Xenopus tropicalis: one gene and its partners. The protein of the gene in region 1 interacts with the protein of each later gene in a biochemical or structural test. Links are inferred from orthologs where the notes say so. Each region holds a gene or a part of one and is shown in the gene's direction. Other genes may lie near its edges. The genes, in order: erbb4, abl2, syk, shc1, ptpn11, yap1 and nrg1.

Region 1 (3,500 bases):
CATTCTGTAACTTCTCTCAGCATGGCCAAAGTGGTGGCATCAGGGTACAGGGACAAGAATTTACCAAGGGAGTAGCCTTTCCTTGTTCTGCTGCTATCACCCCCATCATGCAATCATAAAAACATATAAGGCTTATTTGTGTTTAAAATTATTTCTATTAAAGGTACTTGCATCTAGTGATGATCGAATATTTTCGGCAGCCATGGATTTGCAGTGAATTTCCACATTTCGCCATTGGCGAATTGTTTCGCGAAATTTCAGCAAAATTTTGGTGTGAAAAAATTTGCTGTGCGTCAAAATAGGCAAGGACGCATCAAAATGGGCATGTAAAAATGGGCGCGGTTACAGTACAGGCGAACTTACAGCTTCAGTGATGTGTTTCTTATAAGACATGGGGCAGTTTTATTATTGATCAGACTGGGGATTCTTGATATTCAGTAAAGTTTTTAACATAGTGGCATATTTATCAAAGCTGTTGAAAGTTGCTAGACAAGCTGGAAGCTAAGCTGTATTTAGGAAGAAAGGTAAATTTATGAATGAGTTTTTTCAAACCCAGCTAATTTGTTACTGCCATGTAACCTTACTTATTTCTATGCAGCTGCAGAAGGAATGGTTTGTGACCCTCTCTGTTCCAATGCTGGGTGCTGGGGTCCAGGGGCCAATCAGTGCCTGTCCTGTCGATACTTCAGCCGAGGGAAGTCATGTGTCAGATCCTGCAACCTTTATAAAGGGTAAGAGAATAAGGGAAGTATTTGACACGCCTAATTCAAGCCAATATTTGGTAACTGCTATAAATTAATGTACAAATCAGCTTATCAAAATAAGTTGACTAGTTGAAGTTTAACTGCAAGCATTGTTCTACAGCCAGTGGGGGTTGTAAAAGGGTAGGAAAGAGTTAAATTGTTACTAAAATTTGCAGAACATCTTGGCAAAGGGGCAACCCGAGTGTAGCATATTGCCCAGTTTATGGTACTGGGAGGTATAGTTTACCAACAGCTGAAGCTGCTTGGATTCAGTTTTGAAACCAATTAGCTAAAGGCTTAAGAATTTAATTTGACTAGCTGTTGGAGTGGAGCTCCTTAATAATATGTGGAAGACTCCTCCAATTGACCAATTTTATCTTTTATTTAACACAAAATACTCTGATGACCACAAATGCCTTTGCTGGTATCCCCACGTCCACTTCAGGCTTACCTGTCTCTATGAGAAAAACTGCTGTTCCTACTGCCAAAAAGGCCGTCGCCTCTCAGTTTCCTGTTCCTTTTATTCTCTGTTATACACTTTACACTTTATTAGTAGCATGAACATGTTTCACCTTCTTACATGTAGATAGAAAAGCTGCTAGACGCCATGTACCTGCTGGATCTTTGAGAGATGATCTAGATGCACTGTAGGAGGGAGCTGTCAGATTTTGTGGGATATCCCTCCTGTTTATTTTGTGTTAGGAAGGTGCACAATTGTATTTGACCACTGTTTGGCTCTTATTCAAGGGAAGCAAATCAAAGCAATATAATATAAGTAAAGAAAATAAAAAGTGCTGTTTATTAAAAATAATTATGTTGGATATTAAGTGTTGGAAAATTAGAATTACTTAGGGAATAGGTTAAACTATATAATAATATTTAAACGTCTCTCCTTCCCAAACCCCATCTAATGATAACAATGTTACAACTTCAGCCCTGTGTTTGCATTTCACATGCTTTAGTGCCTTTATGTGTTGCACTGGTTAATCTGATGAATTTCCAAACAAAGCTCTAGCCCCCTCCGTCACTTGTGTATCAGTAAATATAATGATCCTTAAGAATGCACCATCAATTTCCATGTGTCCCTCCTACAGCACGATAATAAACAGTCTTTCATTGTAATGAAATCCTCTTCCCCCCCGAGATCATCCATTTTAATTAGCGGATGTTTCCTGGCAAAGCAGGGACATTTCCTCCGCTCCCTTCCATTTTTCATTCCCGCTGAACTCTCCTCCACACCTTATCTCTTTTCACACGTTCCCTCAACTGATTTGCCTTTTCCCACTTGCTCTGCTTTTGTTTTATTGGTTTTCAGTTCCATCTCTTCTGAACTTCACTGTTCCTGATGAAATGAGCTCAAACACAATTGTGGCATTCATTTATAAAGCGCATTTAATTAGTGGAGGAGAAATAGAACTAAAAGCATAACAGTATTTTGTCACATCTGCAAACATAAAGGAAGTTTTCATAAAGTAGCAGAAAGGGCAGACCAAGTTGAATTAAGCGGAATTAATAATATTAGTTTTAGGGTAAAGGGCTGCTGGCTATGAAGAATGGTAAATTTCAGACCACATTCTAGCAGTACTTACCTTCAGGGTTGCTCTAACAAGGTCAGGTACGTGCACTGTGCAATTATTAATCGGACAATAAACAAATAGCTAAGAGTAAGAGATATTTATTTACATATATATTTAGTACTATTTATATCCTGATCTCTCCACCATTTCAAACATTTTTCTACAGAGAATCCCGTGAATTTGTCAATGGCTCTGTCTGTGTAATGTGTGACTCTCAATGCGAGAAGATGGAAGACAGCATAGTCACCTGCTATGGGCCGGTAAGGACTAGCACAGTGGTCTTTAGTACAGTGTCAAAAAGCACTCACATTGCTGTAGCCATTACTTTATGGACATACAGTATCTTTTTTTTTTTTTCTTGTTACTGCAAATGGCCAATGATTCAGATCCATGGCAAGACATTTTTAACTGCTGGCTCTGATTGTTGGTAATGAGACACAGAGCTGTACAATAATTGGCTGAAAGCTGGATCCATTTCTTTTCCATATAGTTCTCTTTTTAAGTGAGATATCAAAGAAAATTAGGCCTAACGGAACGGCACGTGTTAGAGTGATTGCTTTAGTCACAGCTTACTTCGCACGGAGCTTATGGACCTTCTTCTTCACCAGAATAAAAACAGACTTACTAAGGGGTTTTGTTGTAATATACTGAACTTGTTGCAACAGCCTAAAGGTTCAGCATCTCTATAGTAGTAATGACTCAGGTCTTCAGAGTTATCTTGGATTTTGTTAAAGTTTCAGTGGCACTGCACATACTGTTGAGAAGCTTAGTTGTGGTCACAAATTATCAATCAGAAAATGAGGTTTTACTACCATATAAACTGATGCTGCAGGCCTCATTAATAAATTCTGATGCTAATTATACAGGTTTCAGAAATGCCATGTACTAATCCAAATTTTTTATTCATCAGCCTTATATTGTGTGTGACATTTATATTCTATATATAAAGTATATTGTGAGGCAGTTCCTAAGCTCAGCAACTGAAAGCAGCACAGAGCAGGTACAGTGAATCAGTAGAAGAGAATATGGGGAGCTACTGGGGCATCTTTGGAGGCACATATCTTCCCTGCTAAAGGGCTGTGGTTGACTGGGGCTGATACAGAAACCCAAAACATAATATGGAACATTTCTGCTCTACTTCTTTACTTAAGCTTTAGTTCTTCTTAAAAACGATTCAGTG
Region 2 (3,500 bases), on another chromosome or scaffold:
CTCTCCTGCACTTCCACGCAAACAGAGGGATAAATCCCCAAGCAGCCTTTTGGGGGACACCAAGGAAACAACCTTCACCCGTGACCGTAAAGGGGGATTCTTCAGTTCTTTCATGAAGAAAAAAAGTGCCCCACAGCCCCCAAAACGCAGCAGTTCATTTCGAGAAATGGAAAACCAACCTCATAAAAGGCCAGAGCTGACAGGAGAACTCCCTTCATTTCAACAGCTTGATAGTTTAGACTCCCCTGCATCCCCTGGTTCCCATAAATGCTATGGTGGTGGATCACAACGTAGTTTTCCACCAGAAGATGTCATAGGAGGAATAGGAGGAGGCTGGACTGGAATTTCTGGTTTTTTTACTCCACGTCTTATCAAAAAGACTTTTGGACTGCGAACAGGAAAGTCAGGAAGCAGTGGGGAGGAACCCAAACCTTTTCCCCGGTCTAATTCAACCTCTTCAATGTCTCCTGCGGTTCCTGAACAAGACAGGCTGTCTATGACTCTGCCCAGAAATTGCCATCGGACTAAGGTCCAATTGGACCGTACCACCTCCATTTCCTCACAGCCTGAAGAGAGCCAGCATGACCTTCAAAGGAGTGGATTAGAGATTCAGCCAGTCAGGGACAGGGTAAAGCCCAAGATGCTTCCACGAACTGGTGTTAGTGAGAGAAATGGTGGTTTGCGAACTGGTGCAGATGAGAAGTCATCACCCAATAAGCACACAGGAGGTGCAACTTCAGCCTTTTCTACAGCAGCCCACAACCACAAGGTGCCCGTTCTCATTTCACCATCACCAAGGAATGCATCTACTGAGGTGCAACTGGTTGGGATGGACTCCCTGGGTCACACCTTCAAATTGCTTCAGGAACACGTCCCACCAACTGGCTCTGAGAGGGATAGGCCTTCTCATCGCCGGCTTAAGCCAAAGTGTGCCCCACCACCTCCCCCAAACCTGCGCCTTCTTCAGCCTCCACAAGCTGAGGACACAGCCACTGCTGCACCTACACTACCTTGCTTGGAAAGGACGACTAAGCCTTCTAGGCCTATGTTACCCCCTCCGCCTTCTGTTAACCAGACAGGAAAGCTCTCAAATGGAGCAGCTGGGGTTGGAAGAAGTGTGCTGAGGAAGCCAAAGCAGCCAACGGAGAGGGTTCCTGCTGAAAAAATAAGCAAAGAGGCTCTTCTTCAGTGTGCAGGGTTGCTATCCGATGCCCTCGCTTTACCCCAACCCAACAGTCAACTTGTAGATACAGGACATCAACTTCTGGACTATTGTACAGGTTATGTGGACTCTATCTCCCAAACAAGAAATAAATTTGCCTTTCGTGAGGCTGTCAGTCGACTGGAGGTGAGCTTACAGGAACTGCAGGTGTCTTCAGCTGGTAGTGGGGGTGCCTCCACAGCTCCCCCTGGTGCAAATCCTGTACTGAATCACTTGTTATCATGTGTACAGGAAATCAGTGACGTTGTGCAGAGGTAGCTACTGATATTTATGCTGAAAAATGTGGGAGGCATTTCTAACTTCTAACCCAGCTTTATAAAATAGCATCCTCCCACTATGAAATACACTGCTGTGTGTAGGCAGTGAGTAGTAACCTCAGCGCTGGGACTGGCCAGTAAAGGGGCTTTGGCCTCCCCAGCACTATGGTTTTAACATGTCAGTTCTGCTGGAAAATACTGGCAGGCAATGCAGCCCAGCAGTAAATATTTTAAGAGAAATCGATATCCAGTAAATATTTTATGTTTCTTCTCCATATCTTCCTATCCCATCTCAGGTTTTTTTGTTTTGTTTTTAGACATATATGTATATTATATATTTTAAATTGGAGATTTCTTTCCTCCCTACTGTTTGGGTCCAAATAGGATATTGGCTAAGTTGGAATGTTCTTTATTTGATAAGCATTTCTGTGTCTAGATAGTGCCAGGAATGAGTGGTGGTTAGGTCTAGTGTCATTTAAAGTAAGAAAAACTGAAAGCAAAAAGAGAGTATCACTGTATGGGAAGTGTTGGAAGGAAAACTGCCTTTGGGGCATATATATTATAGTGAGTAAGCCAACATCACTGGTGATGTTGCCCATAGCCACCTGTCAGATCTTTGCTTTTGTTTTCTAACTTGTAGGTGACAGTTTAAATCTAATTGCTGATTGGTTGCTAAGAGCAATATCACCAGTGAAGTTGGCTTTCATACTATAATAAATATGCTCTTTTGTGTCTATACCTCATTTAGCTTCTTTGCTGCTAAAGGGGCCTGGTGGCCATATCTTTTGCACCATACTAATATGGGCCCCTTGAGGAACAGGCCTCTTTTGCAGTGGACAATTCATAATACCCATTATGGCCTTTTTGTAGGCACAGATCTTACATGAAAAAGACTAAACTTTTTTTTTTCTATAGTGCTTATGTTGATGGTTACTTTCCCTTTGCTAGTTCATTCCAGCCATTACACCCGGCATCACTGTAGTCAATCTGTGTTGCCCCTGTTTCATTATTAACAACATTCCTGAACAATTTTATAATTTAGCACAGGTCATTGTTGAAATCCATGCAGTTTTAAACGGAGTTGGAATGGACATTTTCTCAGAAAGCAATGCTCTCCTGTCTTTTCAGTAGCCATGCTATGGGAGACCTTGAGCAGCTGAAGTGTTACCCAATAATGTTGAGGAGCAGCTTGTATTTTATTGCCATTCTTTTATTTTAAGCAGCTTAAATTGAAAGCCAAGCGCAATGCTTGTGGGTATATTTTTCAGGAATTTAGCCATTTAAAAGTGCTCCAATTTTAAGGAGCTGTAAATTTTTTCCCCCTCTAGTTTAATGGAAATTATACATGGTTTATCAGTACCTGAAAGGTAGATCACCTTTCTCAGTAAAAGCAATTGAGGTAGAAGTTTACCATATTATTTTGCTTTTGCATTAATATTGTCTGTTTTGAATAGAAGCTGCTATTGAGACCGTTTCAAAAACATTGATTCACTGAATGTTTCTTTCCATTGCAAAAACCCAGTCTTTTCCCCTTGGCACGATGATAGGTTTCCTGGGAGGTTTTCAGGATAAGAGTAGGATACTCAGGCTCTTTAAATCAATGTATAAAAAGTATTCTACATTGGAATGGTTATATTCGGCCGATATGTTGGTACAGTATTAAATTAATTCATATTTTTGTTACAATGGCCCGAAGTACTTGCACCTGGACTATACTGGAAAATAGGCAGAACTGGAGTTTTAAGCTGAATAACTGGCAGCACTTGTACATGCAAACACATTTCCCTGCACATCAAAACTAAAAAGGTGTGCGTGCTCTCCCGCCCAATCAAGGGACCTCTCTATGTTAACACTATAGGTAGAGTTCTCCAGCACATCTCATCATTTATTTATATGGCATCAGAAAGTTAATCGTGCTTTACATTAACTTTTAACTGACAGGGATCTTAAATAATTTCACCAACAAGGGTTACAGAGTGAAAAACAGGATCTTATAGGTTATACTTTCTTTAATGGGCAGA
Region 3 (2,470 bases), on another chromosome or scaffold:
TTATGTGACCTTCACTCAGCACTAGAAGAATCAGCCTGGTGTCCAACTAAGATTTTCATTTATACTATAGCATGTGTGCTTTCTTTAAAGGCAAAGACTGCGGGTAAATGGCCCATGAAATGGTATGCCCCTGAATCATTAAACTATCATAAGTTTTCAAGCAAAAGTGATGTATGGAGCTTTGGAGTTCTGATGTGGGAGGCATATTCCTATGGTCTAAAGCCATATCCGGTAAGTTGGTGGTTCTTCTGTTTTATTATATTTATCATTGTTTCATTGTTAGGAGGTGTTGTTTGCCATACCTAATGTGTTTTCATTTTACAATAGGTAGGCAGAGTCTGTTGGATGATATACCCCTTTAGAGAAGTATAGGATATACTCAGTTGCCCACGGTCTAGTTCTCTTAGTTTAATAGCGAATCCAATTCCATACTATCTATGCCCCTGCTAAACAACATATTAAATCACAACTCAAAATACATCTTATTCATAAAGACTCTTTATTTCCATTCTTGAGCAGAAGCTATTAACCCCCTCATGTAATAAAAGGCACTAAGATTGCGAGGGGCAGTAACCCATAGCAACCAATAAGTTGTTTTGTTCCCATATTACCGCATCTAGGTAGTGCTGCAGGATTTTGGTTGTACAGACTTTAGGGCAGGGAAAAAAAATACATTTTATATAGGAAGATGATATTTATACGTAATTCATCATCCACCATTAGAATATCAAATGGCAGCTTTTACAAGGAAAGAGAAAACAAAGTTCAACACCAATATAATGATTGCATTCTATATTCTATCAGGGAATGAAAGGTAATGAAGTGACAGCTTTTATTGAATCTGGAAACCGCTTGGAGTGCCCGCGACGTTGTCCTGCAGAAATGTACAATTTAATTAAATTATGTTGGACATATAAGTAAGTATGAAGCAGAGTTTTTATTAGCCTACTACAAAAAAGATAAGATCTAATTGGTTGCTTTGGACAAGTGAACAAGTGCAATATATCACCTATAACTGCAAATCAGCCCCCTGATCTTTCATCATGGTTACATAGTTACATAGTTACATAGGGTTGAAAAGAGACCAGAGTCCATCAAGTTCAACCCATCCAAGTAAACCCAACACACACAACCTATAGTGACCTATCTATACACTCACATACATAAACTATATATACAACCACTAATACTAACTGTAGATATTAGTATCACAATAGCCTTGGATATTCTGATATTTGGATATTTACTTGTTTCCCACCTATCTCTTTTACAGGACAGAGGAGCGACCATCTTTTGCTGTAGTTGAACTGAAACTGCGCAGTTATTATTATGATAGTTCTCACTGATTTGAAGCCAAAGGGACAGACACATTTGCACAACCAGGAACTTTTTCAGGGTGTTTGGGTGATTAGTGCACATGTGTATATCTGTGTGTGTGTGTATGTGTGTAGGAATGGGTTCTATTATCCAGAAACCCAGTATACAGAATGCTACAAAATACAGCAGTGTCCTTTTCCATAGAGTCCTATTTAAGTCATCAATTCTTCTTTCTTTAGTTATTTACTTTTTCTTTGTTTTAATAGAGCAGTTCCATGTACTTGATGGTAATGTAGCTAATCCAGGTTGGTGGCAACACAATCCTATTGGATTGTTATTTGCTTTGAGCTATGGTGCTCCAAATTACAGAAAGACCCCTCATCCTGAAAGCCTCAGGTCCCCAGCATTTAGGATAATAGATTCCATTCCTCCATTTGAATATGGCCTTTTTATGTGTGTTTTTTAAATTCAAAATAGGTATATGTATATGAAAACATCTTTATTTTTTAGCAGTATGGTGCTGAGAATACTGGAGCATGTAACAGTTATTATAACTAATAAATGTTTATTTTATACTTAATTAAATGCTCTTTTAATATATATATACCTGTCTGTAAAGTCTAATAATGTACCAAATAAAACAGTTTTCAGTAGTACTGTCTACGTTGTTGCACACAACTGATTCCCTGTAGATCAGAGTTGGGCAGAGTTCACTAAAATATAGCTTGAGGGCTGCAAGCAGGTCATTTATATTTATGTTCAGATTCCAAAATTTCTGCAATAGAAAATCTTGTACATATTGGGTCCTGTTGAAGCCACAAGTCAATGTTAGAGTGGAAATGTCCTCAACATATGGGATTAGCCTCCCATGTATGTATGTATGTATAATTTTATTTATAAAGCGCTACTTATGTACGCAGCGCTGTACAGTAGAATACATTAATACAAACGGGGTTAATAAGATAAAAGATAAATACAAAGTATAACAATAAATACAAATAAATACAAGATACAGTTACAGTTGCAATAAGTTAAGAGTCAAAGACACAAGAGGGTGGAGGTCCCTGCCTCGTAGAGCTTACAATCTATATGGGAGGGTAACTTACAGATACAAATAGGCAAATATAAGTGATGTAGGTCACAGTGGTATAAG
Region 4 (4,268 bases), on another chromosome or scaffold:
AAGCACTCGCCCCAAATCCCCCCCTAACTGGCCTTCAGGCTGGGCCCCCTTAGCCCATAACAAGGTTACAGATATATAGAAACATTGGGGTAACAGTCACCCTGCTATAGTTCCAGGGGTGCCCAGGGCACAAATAAGCACTCACCCCAAATCCCCCCCTAACTGGCCTTCAGGCTGGGCCCCCTTAGCCCATAACAAGGTTACAGATATATAGAAACATTGGGGTAACAGTCACCCTGCTATAGTTCCAGGGGTACCCAGGGCACAAATAAGCACTCACCCCAAATCCCCCCTAACTGGCCTTCAGGCTGGGCCCCCTTAGCCCATAACAAGGTTACAGATATATAGAAACATTGGGGTAACAGTCACCCTGCTATAGTTCCAGGGGTACCCAGGGCACAAATAAGCACTCACCCCAAATCCCCCCTAACTGGCCTTCAGGCTGGGCCCCCTTAGCCCATAACAAGGTTACAGATATATAGAAACATTGGGGTAACAGTCACCCCGCTATAGTTCCAGGGGTACCCAGGGCACAAATAAGCACTCGCCCCAAATCCCCCCCTAACTGGCCTTCAGGCTGGGCCCCCTTAGCCCATAACAAGGTTACAGATATATAGAAACATTGGGGTAACAGTCACCCCGCTATAGTTCCAGGGGTACCCAGGGCACAAATAAGCACTCACCCCAAATCCCCCCTAACTGGCCTTCAGGCTGGGCCCCCTTAGCCCATAACAAGGTTACAGATATATAGAAACATTGGGGTAACAGTCACCCCGCTATAGTTCCAGGGGTACCCAGGGCACAAATAAGCACTCGCCCCAAATCCCCCCCTAACTGGCCTTCAGGCTGGGCCCCCTTAGCCCATAACAAGGTTACAGATATATAGAAACATTGGGGTAACAGTCACCCCGCTATAGTTCCAGGGGTACCCAGGGCACAAATAAGCACTCACCCCAAATCCCCCCCTAACTGGCCTTCAGGCTGGGCCCCCTTAGCCCATAACAAGGTTACAGATATATAGAAACATTGGGGTAACAGTCACCCTGCTATAGTTCCAGGGGTACCCAGGGCACAAATAAGCACTCACCCCAAATCCCCCCCTAACTGGCCTTCAGGCTGGGCCCCCTTAGCCCATAACAAGGTTACAGATATATAGAAACATTTGGGTAACAGTCACCCCGCTATAGTTCCAGGGGTACCCCTAACTGGCCTTCAGGCTGGGCCCCTAGCTCCCCATTCCATAGTTAGTCCCTAAAGACAAGTGACTGGGAATATATATATTTTATTAGTGTTCTGTGCCCCCCCCACATTATTCCATGCTGGTTGAGCCCCCCAGGCTTAGATGAACTGAGGGCTGTGATGTATGGGGAGACTGTTGCAAGCAGTAGATAGTCAGCTCCGGGGCCCAGTAGTGAGTAGGAGGGGGGGGGTGGGTTTCATTGAGAGGAGGAAGTGAGGGGGGGGCAGTAGCTGGGTGAGTCAGCAGAGCGCGTGCTATTGGCCAGCAGCAGCCTCCTTCTCCTGGGAGCCAGTGAATAGGTAATCAGGCAGCCCCAGCTCCATTCATCCCGACTCCCACTCACCGTCCCTCACTCACACTCGCACACAGTGCAAGGCTCCCACCCCCCCTGCACCTGAGCTCTCTCCCTGCCCCAGAGATGGGTAGGAAGGCAGGTGGAATGGCTCCCTCCCCCGGCCCGGTGTCCATCTGCACATTTTCCCACAAGGATTAGCCCCCCCCCTCGCTGACCTTTCCCCCAGAGGAGCCCCCAGCCGCACATCGGAGATATAAATATATGGATTTATTTCCCCCCCCCCTCAGCATTTCCTCTGCTGCCTTCCTGCTCGGTGCTGCCGGCTCTCCCATATCCTCTCTCCGTAGGGTGCCGGGGCCCCGCAGGCCAGGGGAGAGGTACCCACCCATCAGCGGCCGTGTAGGGAATGTATTGATCAGTGGGAGGGGGCCCCCATGCACAGTGAGTGGGACATGCACCAAGTGACACTCTCCTCTCTCTGGCTCCCGGATCAGAACCTGCTGGTCTCCCGCTGGATTCTTCTCTCCCCGGCACTCAAGCCAATGCCCCAGCCCGGCTCCTGGCTGCCCCTTTCTAGCTGATTGGAGGGGTACCAATGTGGGGTTCTGGAGGGAGATCCGTGTATACAGGTTTGCCCGGTACCGGACTATGAGAACCAGACCCCCCATTGCTGTCGAGTGCAAGCTGGCAGCTGGCATCATGGATCTGCTTCCCAAAACCAAATACAATCACCTTCGCAATGAGTCGGTCAGCTCGGTGGAAGAGGCTTTGGCCGCTGGGCCCCTCAGCCCTTCGGTGGAAATCATGGTGTCCCTGCCCAGCTCTGCCTCGTCTTCCTCCCTTGCCCCAATGCTGCCGCTGGCCGAGCTGTCCTCTGAGTCGGAGGAGAGCCCCACCACTCTGTGCTCCTTCTTCCCCAAAATGGCCAACCTGAAACTTTCCAACCCGGCCAACCTGCTTAACCTGCGCAGCTTCTCTTCCTCCATGGGGGGGAAGGAGAGCGCCAGCCCCGGGGAGCAAGGGGACACCCCCAATGAAGGCAGTAGCCCCGAATCAGGCCGGACTTTCACTGTTTTCTCACAGGATATGAACAAACTGAGCTGCGGGCGAAAGTCCCGGGTGGAAGGAGGCCAACTGGCCGGCGACGAATGGACCCGGCACGGCAGCTTTGTCAATAAGCCCACCCGAGGCTGGCTGCACCCCGACGACAAGGTCATGGGCCCCGGGGTTCCCTATCTGGTCAGGGTAAGGCCATGTTTCTCTTTCTTGGGCTTTGTTTCTCTGGGCTACCAGGGCTCTCTGTGCCCCTACCCTCTAGTTCCAGCCTCTACTCCTACCTACTGTCTGTACTCCTACCCTCTAGTCCTACCTGCTGTCTGTGCCCCTACCCTCTAGTTCTAGCCTCTACTCCTACCTACTGTCTGTGCTCCTACCCTCTAGTCCTACCTGCTGTCTGTGCCCCTACCCTCTAGTCCTAGCCTCTACTCCTACCTACTGTCTGTGCTCCTACCCTCTACTCCTACCTACTGTCTGTGCTCCTACCCTCTAGTCCTACCTGCTGTCTGTGCCCCTACCCTCTAGTCCTAGCCTCTACTCCTACCTACTGTCTGTACTCCTACCCTCTACTCCTACCTGCTGTCTGTGCCCCTACCCTCTAGTCCTACCTGCTGTCTGTGCCCCTACCCTCTAGTCCTACCTGCTGTCTGTGCCCCTACCCTCTAGTCCCAGCCTCTACCCTCTACTCCTACCTGCTGTCTGTGCCCCTACCCTCTAGTCCCAGCCTCTATCCTCTACTCCTACCTGCTGTCTGTGCCCCTACCCTCTAGTCCCAGCCTCTATCCTCTACTCCTACCTGCTGTCTGTGCCCCTACCCTCTAGTCCCAGCCTCTATCCTCTACTCCTACCTGCTGTCTGTGCCCCTACCCTCTAGTCCCAGCCTCTATCCTCTACTCCTACCTGCTGTCTGTGCCCCTACCCTCTAGTCCCAGCCTCTATCCTCTACTCCTACCTGCTGTCTGTGCCCCTACCCTCTAGTCCCAGCCTCTACCCTCTACTCCTACCTGCTGTCTGTGCCCCTACCCTCTAGTCCCAGCCTCTATCCTCTACTCCTACCTGCTGTCTGTGCTCCTACCCTCTAGTCCCAGCTCCTACCCTCTAGTCCCAGCTCCTACCCTCTAGTCCCAGCTCCTACCCTCTAGTCCCAGCTCCTACCCTCTAGTCCCAGCTCCTACCCTCTACTCCTACCTACTGTCTGTGCCCCTACCCTCTAGTCCCAGCTCCTACCCTCTACTCCTACCTACTGTCTGTGCCCCTACCCTCTAGTCCCAGCTCCTACCCTCTACTCCTACCTACTGTCTGTGCCCCTACCCTCTAGTCCCAGCTCCTACCCTCTACTCCTACCTACTGTCTGTGCTCCTACCCTCTAGTCCCAGCTCCTACCCTCTACTCCTACCTACTGTCTGTGCTCCTACCCTCTAGTCCCAGCTCCTACCCTCTACTCCTACTTGCTGTCTGTGCTCCTACCCTCTAGTCCCAACCTCTACCCTCTACTCCTACCTGCTGTCTGTGCCCCTACCCTCTAGTCCCAACCTCTACCCTCTACTCCTACCTACTGTCTGTGCCCCTACCCTCTAGTCCCAACCTCTACCCTCTACTCCTACCTACTGTCTGTGCCCCTACCCTCTAGTCCCAATCTCTACCCTCTACTCCTACCTGCTGTCTGTGCCCCTACCC
Region 5 (4,104 bases), on another chromosome or scaffold:
AGGCTTACATTTAATGCGGCTATCCCTTCAACCACATTGACAGGGGTCAGTTACAACTAAGTAGAACAGGTAATTAAATAACATTTACCATTACAAACAACTCAATTTAAAAACACAAGGGCTTTCCTTCTTTAAAAGGTGAGCAAGAAACAAAAAGAGGGACTAAAGAAGTTGTTCTAGGTGATGTTCCATAAACGTGAGGGCAACTTCTGTTACTTTATTTCAAGAGTACATCATAAGTCACCTTTTCGGCTGCCCTAACCATATAAATGGATCTTCAACCAAGAAGTGCACAATTAAATAATTTTAAGGCATTTGTTAATGCAGTTGTGTATTCCTGTTTCGGACCCTTGAAATAGATGAACACAAATCAGCCCTCATACAGTGTTACTTTTTTTTTTTTATTTTCATGATGCAGGAAAGTTGCTTAGTGGGTAAATATTAATTTAGACAGCAAATCCTGCATTATACATGCATTTATTGACAGATTTGCAAGTAGTGGCTTCTACGGCGTTTCGGAACTCTAAAGAGGAGATTTAGGGCCAGGGTTTTAAACGATAAACCTACGTAGCAAAAGCTCTTAAACTACATGCTTCCTTTCAGTAAAGAAAATGCCAACAAGCATTCGGCGGCCTCAAACCCCACTCCGACCGATCATCCGGTATTTGTGCCAAACAGGACGCCAAAGACCAAAAATACAGAGATAAAAAGATGCTAGACAGGGTCAGTAACATACATCGTGGATTTAAGAGGATGTGGACAATCATGCAGGCTAGGATTACAGCAGATTAAACTACACACTAGTACGTCTATTTTACAGGAACCGCCATTCCTACCTTGGCTGTAAGGAAAAAGAATTAACATCCGGGCAACGCACGTATAAGAACCTGCCGCGTTACGTCACGGCCGCCGCTGGGAACTCTGGGAAACGTAGTCCTCCATTCTAATACTATCTACAAACAGATAGAAGCGGTATAGTAATTTCATCAAATGGTGCTTTGGTATCGCTTTCCCTTAATTAGCGACTGGTTCACTTGCTGACAGTTAAAACACAGGTTATTAAAGAATCTGGCCATCCAATGAAGCCGGAAATGATGAAATAAAGGCCGGTCGTCTGCTTGCCCCAGAAGTTAGAAACAGAATATTTCGTCAAAAATCGTGGCCAACACAGATGCCATTCTTTAATATACCACTCTCTGCACAACTTTACTGGTGTATTTTAAGTTAGAAGCGGTAGTACAACAACTCGTCTCCTCGACTTGGCGCTGTCTAATGACGTCATCCTTTGCGGACCGGGCAGAGTTGGTTGTAGAGTTTAAGGCCTCCATGGAGCTAACACTCAAATAAACGTTCTGAATCAGTCAGCCACCGACTGGGAGAGAAGGGGGTGTACGCGGCGGGTCGGTGTTGCAGCCTCCGTCCCAAAACAGCGCACAAAGGGGGCGAGCTAGAGAGTGAGTGCGGGTCACAGAGACCAGGAGCTGGGCTCATACAATGACATCCAGGAGGTGAGATTGCGCAAAGTCTCATTGTATCTGTTCTGTCAACACTGTCAGTCGCTGTCTGCCTTTCCTATTCGCTGCGCCTTATGCTGTCTTAGAAGCTTCTCTTCTGTCTGCTCGCTTTTTGCATGTGGCGCTGCTCGGGTTTAGTACTTTCCAGCTGTGAAGGATCAAAAAGTCCCACAGTCCCACACTACCCCAGCAACCGTGGCTGAACTACAACTCGCAGCAGCTGAGGCGGAACGTCTTATCCCCAAACAAGTGTAGTTCCTACTCGTTGTACTTGCTCATTCATTCATTTGTTCCTGACGGGACATAGGCATTACACTGGCGTTACACTGGCATTACACTGGAAAGTGGAGCTCCTTTAGTTGTTAACGCGATTGGGACCCCGTTTAAAGAACGAGCGCCTCAAGAAATATGTGAATCTATATTCTTTTCAAACACTGTAGCAGAAGTGTGCTTCTTTGTGGCTGTTTATTAGCTGGCCTTGGCTACATTGTTGCAAACCTCAGAGCCATCAGGGCAGAGAATAAAAATAGGCACATCGATACTAGCTGGTATATTTGTTTACAAATACCTTTAAAACAATTACAATGTGTAATTAATACGTGCTTAAAAGTGTCTACAAGTACAGGTTTTTATTAAGCAATGTTTTTTTTTTGTTTTTGTTTTTATATTTTCTTTGAAGTAGAGAATGTACTGACATGTATGTAAACACAAAGTGGGTGTAGTTAATAACCTGGCAACCTGGTACATATATCTTATTTATTTAGCCATGGTGGGTGGGAGGGAGGCAGCTTATTCTCTTGTGTAACAGCATCCTTATTCCAAGCTGTCTCCACACATTTTCTTACCAGACACCAATTCTTTCACCTGACAGGCAGCTCAAGCAAAGGGGCAGACTTGCCTCTGACCAAGCAGACTGACTATTGATTTTTATGATCAGCCACAGTAAAACTACAGCATTTGTCTGTCTAGTTTGTCCTGCTAAAATGAGATCACATTGCAAGTGCCATGGAATACTGATCACTTTACATTTAAGTAATGAATAAAGATACAATTGTCCCTTTAACTCAGTGATCCCCAGCCATTGGCTCAGGAGCATGATGTTGCTCACCAACCCCTTAGATGTTGCTCCCAGTGCCCTTAAAGCAGGTGCTTATTTTTGAATTTCTGGTTGGAGGCAAGTGTTGGTGGCATAAAAACCAATTGTTATGCCAAGCAGAGCCTCATATAGCCTGTCAGTCCACAGAGAGGCTACCAAAAAACCATTTGCAGCACTTATATGGAACCCCCGGGAACTTTTTTCATGCTTGTGTGTGTGTGTGTATGTATGTATGTATATCTTTATTTATAAAGCGCTACTTATGTACGCAGCGCTGTACAGTAGAATACATTAATACAAACAGGGGGTTAAAGATAATGGATAAATACAAAGTACAACAATAAATACAAGGTGCAGTTGCAATAAGAGTCAGAAACAAGATGAAGGAGGTCCCTGCCCCGTAGAGCTTACAATCTATATGGGAGGGGTAACTAACAGACACAAATGGGCAAATGTAAGTTCTGTAGGTCACAGTGGGTGACACTACAATATAAGTGCCAGTTCCCAGATCAGGTGCTGGGTGAGTGCTCCAAAAGGTAGTCTTTAAGTTTAGATTTAAAAAGACTGAGGGAGGATTCTCTCCGGAGGAAATCGGGGAGGGCATTCCAAATGTAAGGGGCAGCAAGGCAGAAAGGTTTAAGGCGGGAAACAGCAGTAGTGGTGGGGGGCGCAACCAAACGGTTGTTCTGCGAGGAACGAAGGAGTCGACCGAAATGTTTTTACAGTTAAAATGTGGATCATGGGTAAAAAGGGTTGGAGACCCCTGCTCTAACTTTGGTAGTTTCTCTTATTGCAGCAGACATACACGTCATCTGAGAAACTTAATATTACATGTTACAGGCTTTGATGGGGGAAATGCTGATGTGTAGCTTTCAGAGGAACATAAATCGGATGCTATCATTCCTGTCATGTTTGGGACCTGGGGTTTGCAGATAAGGCATCTTGTATCTCTAGACCTTAAGTCTTCTAAAAATAATTTAAACATTAAATAAACCCAATAGGAAATAATGTTGCTTAGTTAATATCAAATACAAGGTACTGTTTTATTATTACAGAGAAAAATTCATTTTTTTTAAATTACAAGTAATTGCTTTAAATGGACTCTATAGGAGTTGGCCTTAATTCAGACCTTTCTGGATAACAACTTTCCAGATATCAGTTCCCGTATCTGTACTACATTTTCCATGTTTTGTCCATTTTGTGACTGATGATAATTATTCTTAAAAGTAAGAGCTACCATATTGCTTAGGTGCCAGTTACTCAGCTAGGGTAAGTAATATAACATTTTCCTCAAATTACTGATTATGTTCTGAACTTGTGACCTCATGTTCATATTGATGGCTAAAACTAGCAATGAGTGGGTATGCAAGAGTGTGATACATCACCTTATTTTATTACCTTGGGAAAGAAGCACAAAAGGTGATAGGGTAGGGGAGAAGCAGAATGCACAAAGTACAAAAAGGAATATTTTAAGCAGACAGTCCAAATTTAAAC
Region 6 (2,588 bases), on another chromosome or scaffold:
ACATTTGGTTCTACATCATAAATCATTTCTAGTGGCAGGAGGGCACAGTGTGTTTTTGCTGATTTATGGCCCTTTGGCCCTGCCTGTGGCTTCCATGACGTGTTGTGTCTACACTGCCTGAACGGTTGTCGGTTGCAGGTTATCTTTACCTTTGGGCAGTTTATAGGTAAACAAGGAAAGTGGTGCACGTTGCCCTTTCCAATGTTGATGGCTTAGATGAGTTGCTCTTTTATTTGCTTGTCGGGTCCGTGCCCAATGGCCATTGTTTGGCATTTGGTCACACTGCTTACATAGAGCATCAGCCGGTCTATAGCTGCCCATACATGGGCCAATATTCGCTGCTGGCTCAGCCTATACAGATCAAGTCAGTAGATTATTGCCTGGACAGATGTGCAAATCCCATCTGGAAAGCCCACTGCAGGGACATTGACACTTTCAGTTTTAATAGGGAGGTGTCTCCGTGCCTATATATACCCTAGTGTCACTCATCTTTTCTATTGGTTGTGCCCCCTGCCACCCCCAGCTCACCACTTACTAACCTGTGTAGATCTCAAATATGGCTTAAGCTTTGAGTGACGACACACTTTGTGGTAGAGAAAGGTTCTGATTAGCTGACAGACAAATGTTATCAGTATCACTATTTCTCTATGTGCTCTTACCTGATGGGGTGCCATAAGCTCTTATATATGAACACGTCTTTAGCTAGGGGGTAAATTATTGAGTCAGCCTGAATTGACCTATCACAAGCCCCAGATCCAGCGAACGCTGTTTCTTTTATACATTTGCCAGTACTAGATGCAGTGAGATACCAGCAAATGCTACTTGCATAATCCTTTATTGGCAGATTCCCATTGTACCTACCACTGGCACCTGAGGGTAAGTTGTTGTAGGTGGGAAGTTTTACACAGACTTCAAACAAAACCCTAATCTGAGGATCTAAAAACTTGGCCCCAGTCATGATACGTTGCCTTGATAACTGGTAAAGGACAATGAAAGGTTAATTTACTAGTCGGGTGGGGGCCAAAATGTTGGGCACCCCCAGTGAATTTAATGGCAATGTTTTTCCCCCCAGGCAGGTGCTCCTTTTAGGAATGTGTTTGCAAACAAGGCTAAACTTACCATGTCCTTTCTTTTTCAGCTATGAATCAACAGAGGTTGAGCCAGAGCGCCCCAGTCAAATCGCCGCCCGCGTTACCGCCCCAGAGCCCTCAGAGTGGGGTGCTAGGCAGTGGCGGTAACCAACAACAGATGCGCCTCCAACAGCTACAGATGGAGAAAGAGCGTCTCCGGCTAAAGCACCAAGAACTGCTTCGGCAGGTGAGGCCACAGGTTAGAAACCGCCTTTTGTTTCTTATCTATGTGTTTGTCTTGTCCTATAAGAGTAGCCAAGGGGATGGTAGATTGTGCTCAACTTGGGGCGCTCGGGTACTGAGGGTCATTGGCATTCTGTAGCCAACACTAGGCGTGAAACCTATGAACAATGACTACCCCCCCAAAGCTTGGTCTCACCCACCAGGCTGCACCCCTAACAGCACCTTCCCGCTGCACTATGGGGTAACAGAGCCGGGCTGGCTAATGAAGCCCTGGCCTTGGCAGGAGTTGGGGGCTTTTGGCACACAAGGTGCATCACCCTCACAACTGGTTTGCCGGCAGCTTAACTGTAACACTTGTGGAGTCAGCGTGGCACCCTGATTCTCTGCCCGCCCTGATCCCATTGTAAATAATATCGCTTGGCTTTACATTAATCGCTTCCTTTTAAAGCCAGACAATATATTGCCGTGCAGCACCTCGCTGAATACCTGAAATAAACTTCTCTGGTTTTTCTCGTTTTCGGGTTGAAAAACCTGTCTTTGAGCAGAAACCTTCCCAGAGCTCGTCTCAGACAATATTGTGTTCTTTTTCCCCCGCGACGCAGTTGTTTCTATAACAAGTCGCTGACATGCGTTGGCTGCACGTTTTTCTTCAGGGATTTGAGCCCTTTGTGTGCCCGAGCCTTTGATCATTATTGCTGCCCACAAACCGGATATAAACTCTGTATATAAACAGCTTTTATTCCCTGTTTCTCTTAAAGGGTTGCAAGAGTTGGACCGACCTTACTGTCTTTTTAAAGAAAATGGTATAGGGGAATGATTTAGTATACAGAGCATAGAGTGAGCCGCCATATTGCTTTCACATGCCATTATGCTTATACCTGTAAAATCATCCCACGAGCCGCTGTTTTACCTTTAACTTGGTGCTTTCATACTACATAGGGGTAATTGGATGATATCCATAGTAGTGTATGGGAGATCTGAGACTGCAGCTCACATGATATCCCCTGGGTTATATTCTGGCCCCTATAGCTGCTGTTTGGGGTAAGCTCACAGAGGGCAGATAACCTACATGGGGTTGTGCCCCTATGCATTCGGGCAGTTGCCCATATATAGGGCAGATGCAGTTGTACAGTTGAAGCAGATATATTCTGCCGCTTTCCCTAACCAAACAAGCAGTTATTGAATTTAATAGTACACAGGATCCATTGTTTTCCAGGAACTCGCTCTCCGCAGCCAGATCCCACCAATGGAGCAGGACGGCGGCACTCAGAACCC
Region 7 (3,500 bases), on another chromosome or scaffold:
AGGGAAGACTAAAGCTCACCATACACTGAGCAATAGGCTTAGCAAGGTCACCAGATGAGCAGATCTTTATCTTATTGATCCAGTTAGCCTTTGGGCCAAACAATTGGATCACAGTGACAGGATGTGGGCCATCAGGGTGAGGACTGCATCAATAAGCCAATGCACTTTTCACCCTAAAGGGATTTTTAAACCTGCTCGATCAGTATCAGTCGGGCAGGTCCATCTGAAGGTTCCATACACAGGACAATAAGTTGGCAACTTTAATCACCCTATGTATGGCCACCTTAAGAATATGTATGATATGCTATTGGTTATTGAATTAGTGCATGTTTTCCCATTGTCATATGGGCAAGTATATTTATATACTTTATATTTATATTTGAGTTTTAATATTTTACAGCCAACTAATTTTTGGTCCTTTTAATTTTATAGTATACATTTTTATGCAATTAAATTAATCCAATAGTTTTGTTAGTATGTTTGTATTTCCTAAAATCTGTACAGGTATGGGACCTGTTATAAAGAATGATCTTGACCTGGGGTTTTCTGGAAAAGAGGTCTTTTCCATAATTTGGATCTCCATACTTGTGTCTGCTAAAAAAAAAAAAAAAATTAAACATTAACTAAACCCATAGAATTGTTTTGTCTACAATAAGAATTAATACTATCTTAAGTGAGATTGAGTACAAGGTACGGTTTTATTTTACAGAGAAAAAGAAAGTATGCTTTAAAGTATGGAATTATTAAATTAAAATGGAGTATATTAGCAATGGCCTTCCCATAATTCTAAACTTTCTGGATAATGGGTATTTAGATATGGTATTTGCAGGTATTTACCTGCAATGTAAATTCAATATGATTGTTGATATATTGAATGGGTGTAATGACAAACCTGTTTGTTCACCTGACATTGCAATTCCCAGTATGTACAAAAATCTCCTCAATAGTTTGTAATAAAATTATCCTGATTTTGGGGTCAACTGAGAGACTATTCTTGTGGCATGATAATAAGTGCAACAGTTAATAAACCTGTATACTAGTGCACTAATGGTATTATCTGTTTTGTCAGGTGACACCACAACTGGACCAGGTCACCTTATAAAATGCTCAGACAAAGAAAAGACCTACTGTGTCAACGGAGGAGAGTGCTATGTCCTCAATGGTATAACAAGCAGCAACCAGTTCATGTGCAAGTAAGACAAGTTTACAGACTGCAATACTTTGAATGACATGTTTATTTTGACTGGAAAGTAACTATCCAACCTAAAGTCTTGTGCTCTTTGAAGTGTAATGGTATTGCTGCAAGGCTGTCCTGCTCTTGGCCATCAAGCTGTTGTTGAATGACAAGTCCCAGAACATTGTTAAGTGATGTCGGGTTATGAAAATATTATACATCTTCTAAGATTACATATTATAGTTAATGGGTAATTTTAGCACATTTTGATAAAACCTGAAAACAATAATTTTTTTTTACCAATTAAAAATTGGTTTATTGTCCTTAGAGTATTCAGAAAAGTGTAAATCTATAGCTTATATTATGCTTTTAACATTTCATATTACCCTTTTTGCTTTAGCCAAAAAAGGTAATATGGATACACAGTATAGCGATAAAACCTTTTTAATACCATAAAAATACCACATTTACCCCCATTTTTAATAAAAGGCATTATGTTTACCTGGAAGCAGTAACCCATAGAATCAATAAAATGTTTGCTTTTAAACAGGTGATCAAAAATGTTACCTGCTGGTTGGTTGCTATGGGTTACTGTTCCTGTGTAAACCTAGTGCCTTTTATTACATAACCCCATAAATCTTCTATATAACCTCCAGCAAGCACACATGCAAACACGCAATCAGTTCATTTATATCTGAACTCACTAAAATGACCTGGAATAATAGCGAGCAGCCAAAAACACAATTTTTTTTAGTATGAAATGCTGTATGATCCCTTCCTAGTTCCACCCAATTGTTTCATTACTTTCATAGCCTACATATTTCCATTACATTACTACAAAAAACAGAAAATTATATTCTTTAAAGAATAATATATTTGTGTATTTTTCCTTTTCAATAATAATGCAGATTTGATTATCTAGTGTACATAACATTTGATAGGTATCTTTAACAAAAGTTTCAGCACTTCAATGCTCCTTTCTCAAAATTGGACTTATGCTTGGAATCATATATATCATATAGTCATATATTACCTATTCATGTAATAAAAACCATATTAGCATGTATAAATAAGGGGGAATAAGAACGTATTTACTAATTTTCTGTAACAAAAGCACAGTACTTGTTGGATATTACTTTCTTCCTTTTTCTTTAATATGTTACATAGCTTTTGATTTTTTACATGGCACTGGGTTATAAAAGTGAACATTTAAAACTGTATTTGTTTCATGTGGATATTGTAATACTGTACTGATATAGCAGTGTTTATGCTTTCAAGTTGTTATTTAACTTAATTGCAACTCTTAGCAAAAAATGCAGAGCAACAAGTTGATTGTCCAAAGTAAATTAGGAGAGATTAGAAGAGATTCTGAGTAGCCGTGGGGAAAACAACTCCACGTGTAACATTGTCAATATGAATATCATAAGTGTAAAAATAATTTCTTCTTCTATGCACATTAGGCACCACCACAATCCCATTAAATTTACCCATTCAATTTAATACAGAGAGTATTTATATAAGTGTTAGAAGCTATTACATTATTACATTAATAACACATATTTACAAACTGCCAATATAATCCACAGTGCTATATACAGTTAATGGGTATATACAATGAATATACAGATTTATATACAAAGCAACCAATAATGTGATACAGAAGGAGAAGAGGGCCCTGCCCAAAAGAGTTTACAATCTAGAAGCCTGGTAAACTATACGGGGGTTATGTAATAAAAGATGCAAAGTTTGGTACTGGTCACCAATACGAATCATTCAGAAATTAACATTTAATGATCATCGGTTTAAAAGCAAGCACTTTATTGGTTGTTCTACGTTACTGCACCTGGGCAAGTAGAGGCAAATTACATATAGGGGCAACTGTCTATACCAAACCAGTTTAATTTTATTTTCACAATCAATAAGTGATTGTTTTAATCTTTTACTATAATCTGCTGTTATTTTGACTATGGTGATGAAAAATGTGTTTATTTAATGTTTATAGTATATCAACACAACTTATTTTTATCCTTAAGGCCTTCAGTTTATTTAATGTTTATAGTTTATCAACACAATGTATTTTTATATTATCCATCAGGCCACATTGTATTTTTGCTCTTTTATTTTTTATAAACAGGCTATGTAAGTCTATATATTTTTCAGTTAGAATACTTTTGCTAATTTGCATTATCAATTAATGTGCTGAGTAAAGTCTACAACCATGAGGTTTGTAGAAGGTATAAACTAAAATGTTCACTTTTTACATTTTTTTCCACCTTGGTGTCAGGATCATAAAAGAGCTGCTGATGCCCTAAAGAAGCAAAATGCA

What was found.
Region 2: the proteins of erbb4 (region 1) and abl2 form a complex in vitro, tested with the Homo sapiens proteins (2 studies listed by BioGRID and IntAct, with this or other methods). The link is inferred for Xenopus tropicalis from reciprocal best matches to the Homo sapiens genes ERBB4 and ABL2.
Region 3: the proteins of erbb4 (region 1) and syk form a complex in vitro, tested with the Homo sapiens proteins (2 studies listed by BioGRID and IntAct, with this or other methods). The link is inferred for Xenopus tropicalis from reciprocal best matches to the Homo sapiens genes ERBB4 and SYK.
Region 4: the proteins of erbb4 (region 1) and shc1 form a complex in vitro, tested with the Homo sapiens proteins (2 studies listed by BioGRID and IntAct, with this or other methods). The link is inferred for Xenopus tropicalis from reciprocal best matches to the Homo sapiens genes ERBB4 and SHC1.
Region 5: the proteins of erbb4 (region 1) and ptpn11 form a complex in vitro, tested with the Homo sapiens proteins (2 studies listed by BioGRID, with this or other methods). The link is inferred for Xenopus tropicalis from reciprocal best matches to the Homo sapiens genes ERBB4 and PTPN11.
Region 6: the proteins of erbb4 (region 1) and yap1 form a complex in vitro, tested with the Homo sapiens proteins (2 studies listed by BioGRID and IntAct, with this or other methods). The link is inferred for Xenopus tropicalis from reciprocal best matches to the Homo sapiens genes ERBB4 and YAP1.
Region 7: the proteins of erbb4 (region 1) and nrg1 form a complex in vitro, tested with the Homo sapiens proteins (2 studies listed by BioGRID and IntAct, with this or other methods). The link is inferred for Xenopus tropicalis from reciprocal best matches to the Homo sapiens genes ERBB4 and NRG1.

What each region holds. Positions count from the first base shown.
Region 1 is NC_030685.2:57,165,216-57,168,715, reverse strand, and holds part of erbb4 (receptor tyrosine-protein kinase erbB-4), read left to right. Parts: intron 1-598; coding exon 599-731; intron 732-2,486; coding exon 2,487-2,580; intron 2,581-3,500. UniProt on the Homo sapiens protein: Tyrosine-protein kinase that plays an essential role as cell surface receptor for neuregulins and EGF family members and regulates development of the heart, the central nervous system and the mammary gland, gene transcription, cell proliferation, differentiation, migration and apoptosis.
Region 2 is NC_030680.2:99,860,116-99,863,615, reverse strand, and holds part of abl2 (tyrosine-protein kinase ABL2), read left to right. Parts: coding exon 1-1,480; 3' UTR 1,481-3,500. UniProt on the Homo sapiens protein: Non-receptor tyrosine-protein kinase that plays an ABL1-overlapping role in key processes linked to cell growth and survival such as cytoskeleton remodeling in response to extracellular stimuli, cell motility and adhesion and receptor endocytosis.
Region 3 is NC_030677.2:138,474,559-138,477,028, forward strand, and holds the end of syk (tyrosine-protein kinase SYK), read left to right. Parts: intron 1-90; coding exon 91-231; intron 232-804; coding exon 805-917; intron 918-1,273; coding exon 1,274-1,346; 3' UTR 1,347-1,970; downstream 1,971-2,470. UniProt on the Homo sapiens protein: Non-receptor tyrosine kinase which mediates signal transduction downstream of a variety of transmembrane receptors including classical immunoreceptors like the B-cell receptor (BCR).
Region 4 is NC_030684.2:145,082,904-145,087,171, forward strand, and holds the start of shc1 (SHC-transforming protein 1), read left to right. Parts: upstream 1-1,468; 5' UTR 1,469-2,183; coding exon 2,184-2,780; intron 2,781-4,268. UniProt on the Homo sapiens protein: Signaling adapter that couples activated growth factor receptors to signaling pathways. Participates in a signaling cascade initiated by activated KIT and KITLG/SCF.
Region 5 is NC_030677.2:163,806,652-163,810,755, forward strand, and holds the start of ptpn11 (tyrosine-protein phosphatase non-receptor type 11), read left to right. Parts: upstream 1-1,304; 5' UTR 1,305-1,494; coding exon 1,495-1,508; intron 1,509-4,104. UniProt on the Homo sapiens protein: Acts downstream of various receptor and cytoplasmic protein tyrosine kinases to participate in the signal transduction from the cell surface to the nucleus. Positively regulates MAPK signal transduction pathway. Dephosphorylates GAB1, ARHGAP35 and EGFR.
Region 6 is NC_030678.2:162,266,733-162,269,320, reverse strand, and holds part of yap1 (transcriptional coactivator YAP1), read left to right. Parts: intron 1-1,138; coding exon 1,139-1,329; intron 1,330-2,529; coding exon 2,530-2,588. UniProt on the Homo sapiens protein: Transcriptional regulator with dual roles as a coactivator and corepressor. Critical downstream regulatory target in the Hippo signaling pathway, crucial for organ size control and tumor suppression by restricting proliferation and promoting apoptosis.
Region 7 is NC_030677.2:96,880,261-96,883,760, reverse strand, and holds part of nrg1 (pro-neuregulin-1, membrane-bound isoform), read left to right. Parts: intron 1-1,069; coding exon 1,070-1,193; intron 1,194-3,500. UniProt on the Homo sapiens protein: Direct ligand for ERBB3 and ERBB4 tyrosine kinase receptors. Concomitantly recruits ERBB1 and ERBB2 coreceptors, resulting in ligand-stimulated tyrosine phosphorylation and activation of the ERBB receptors.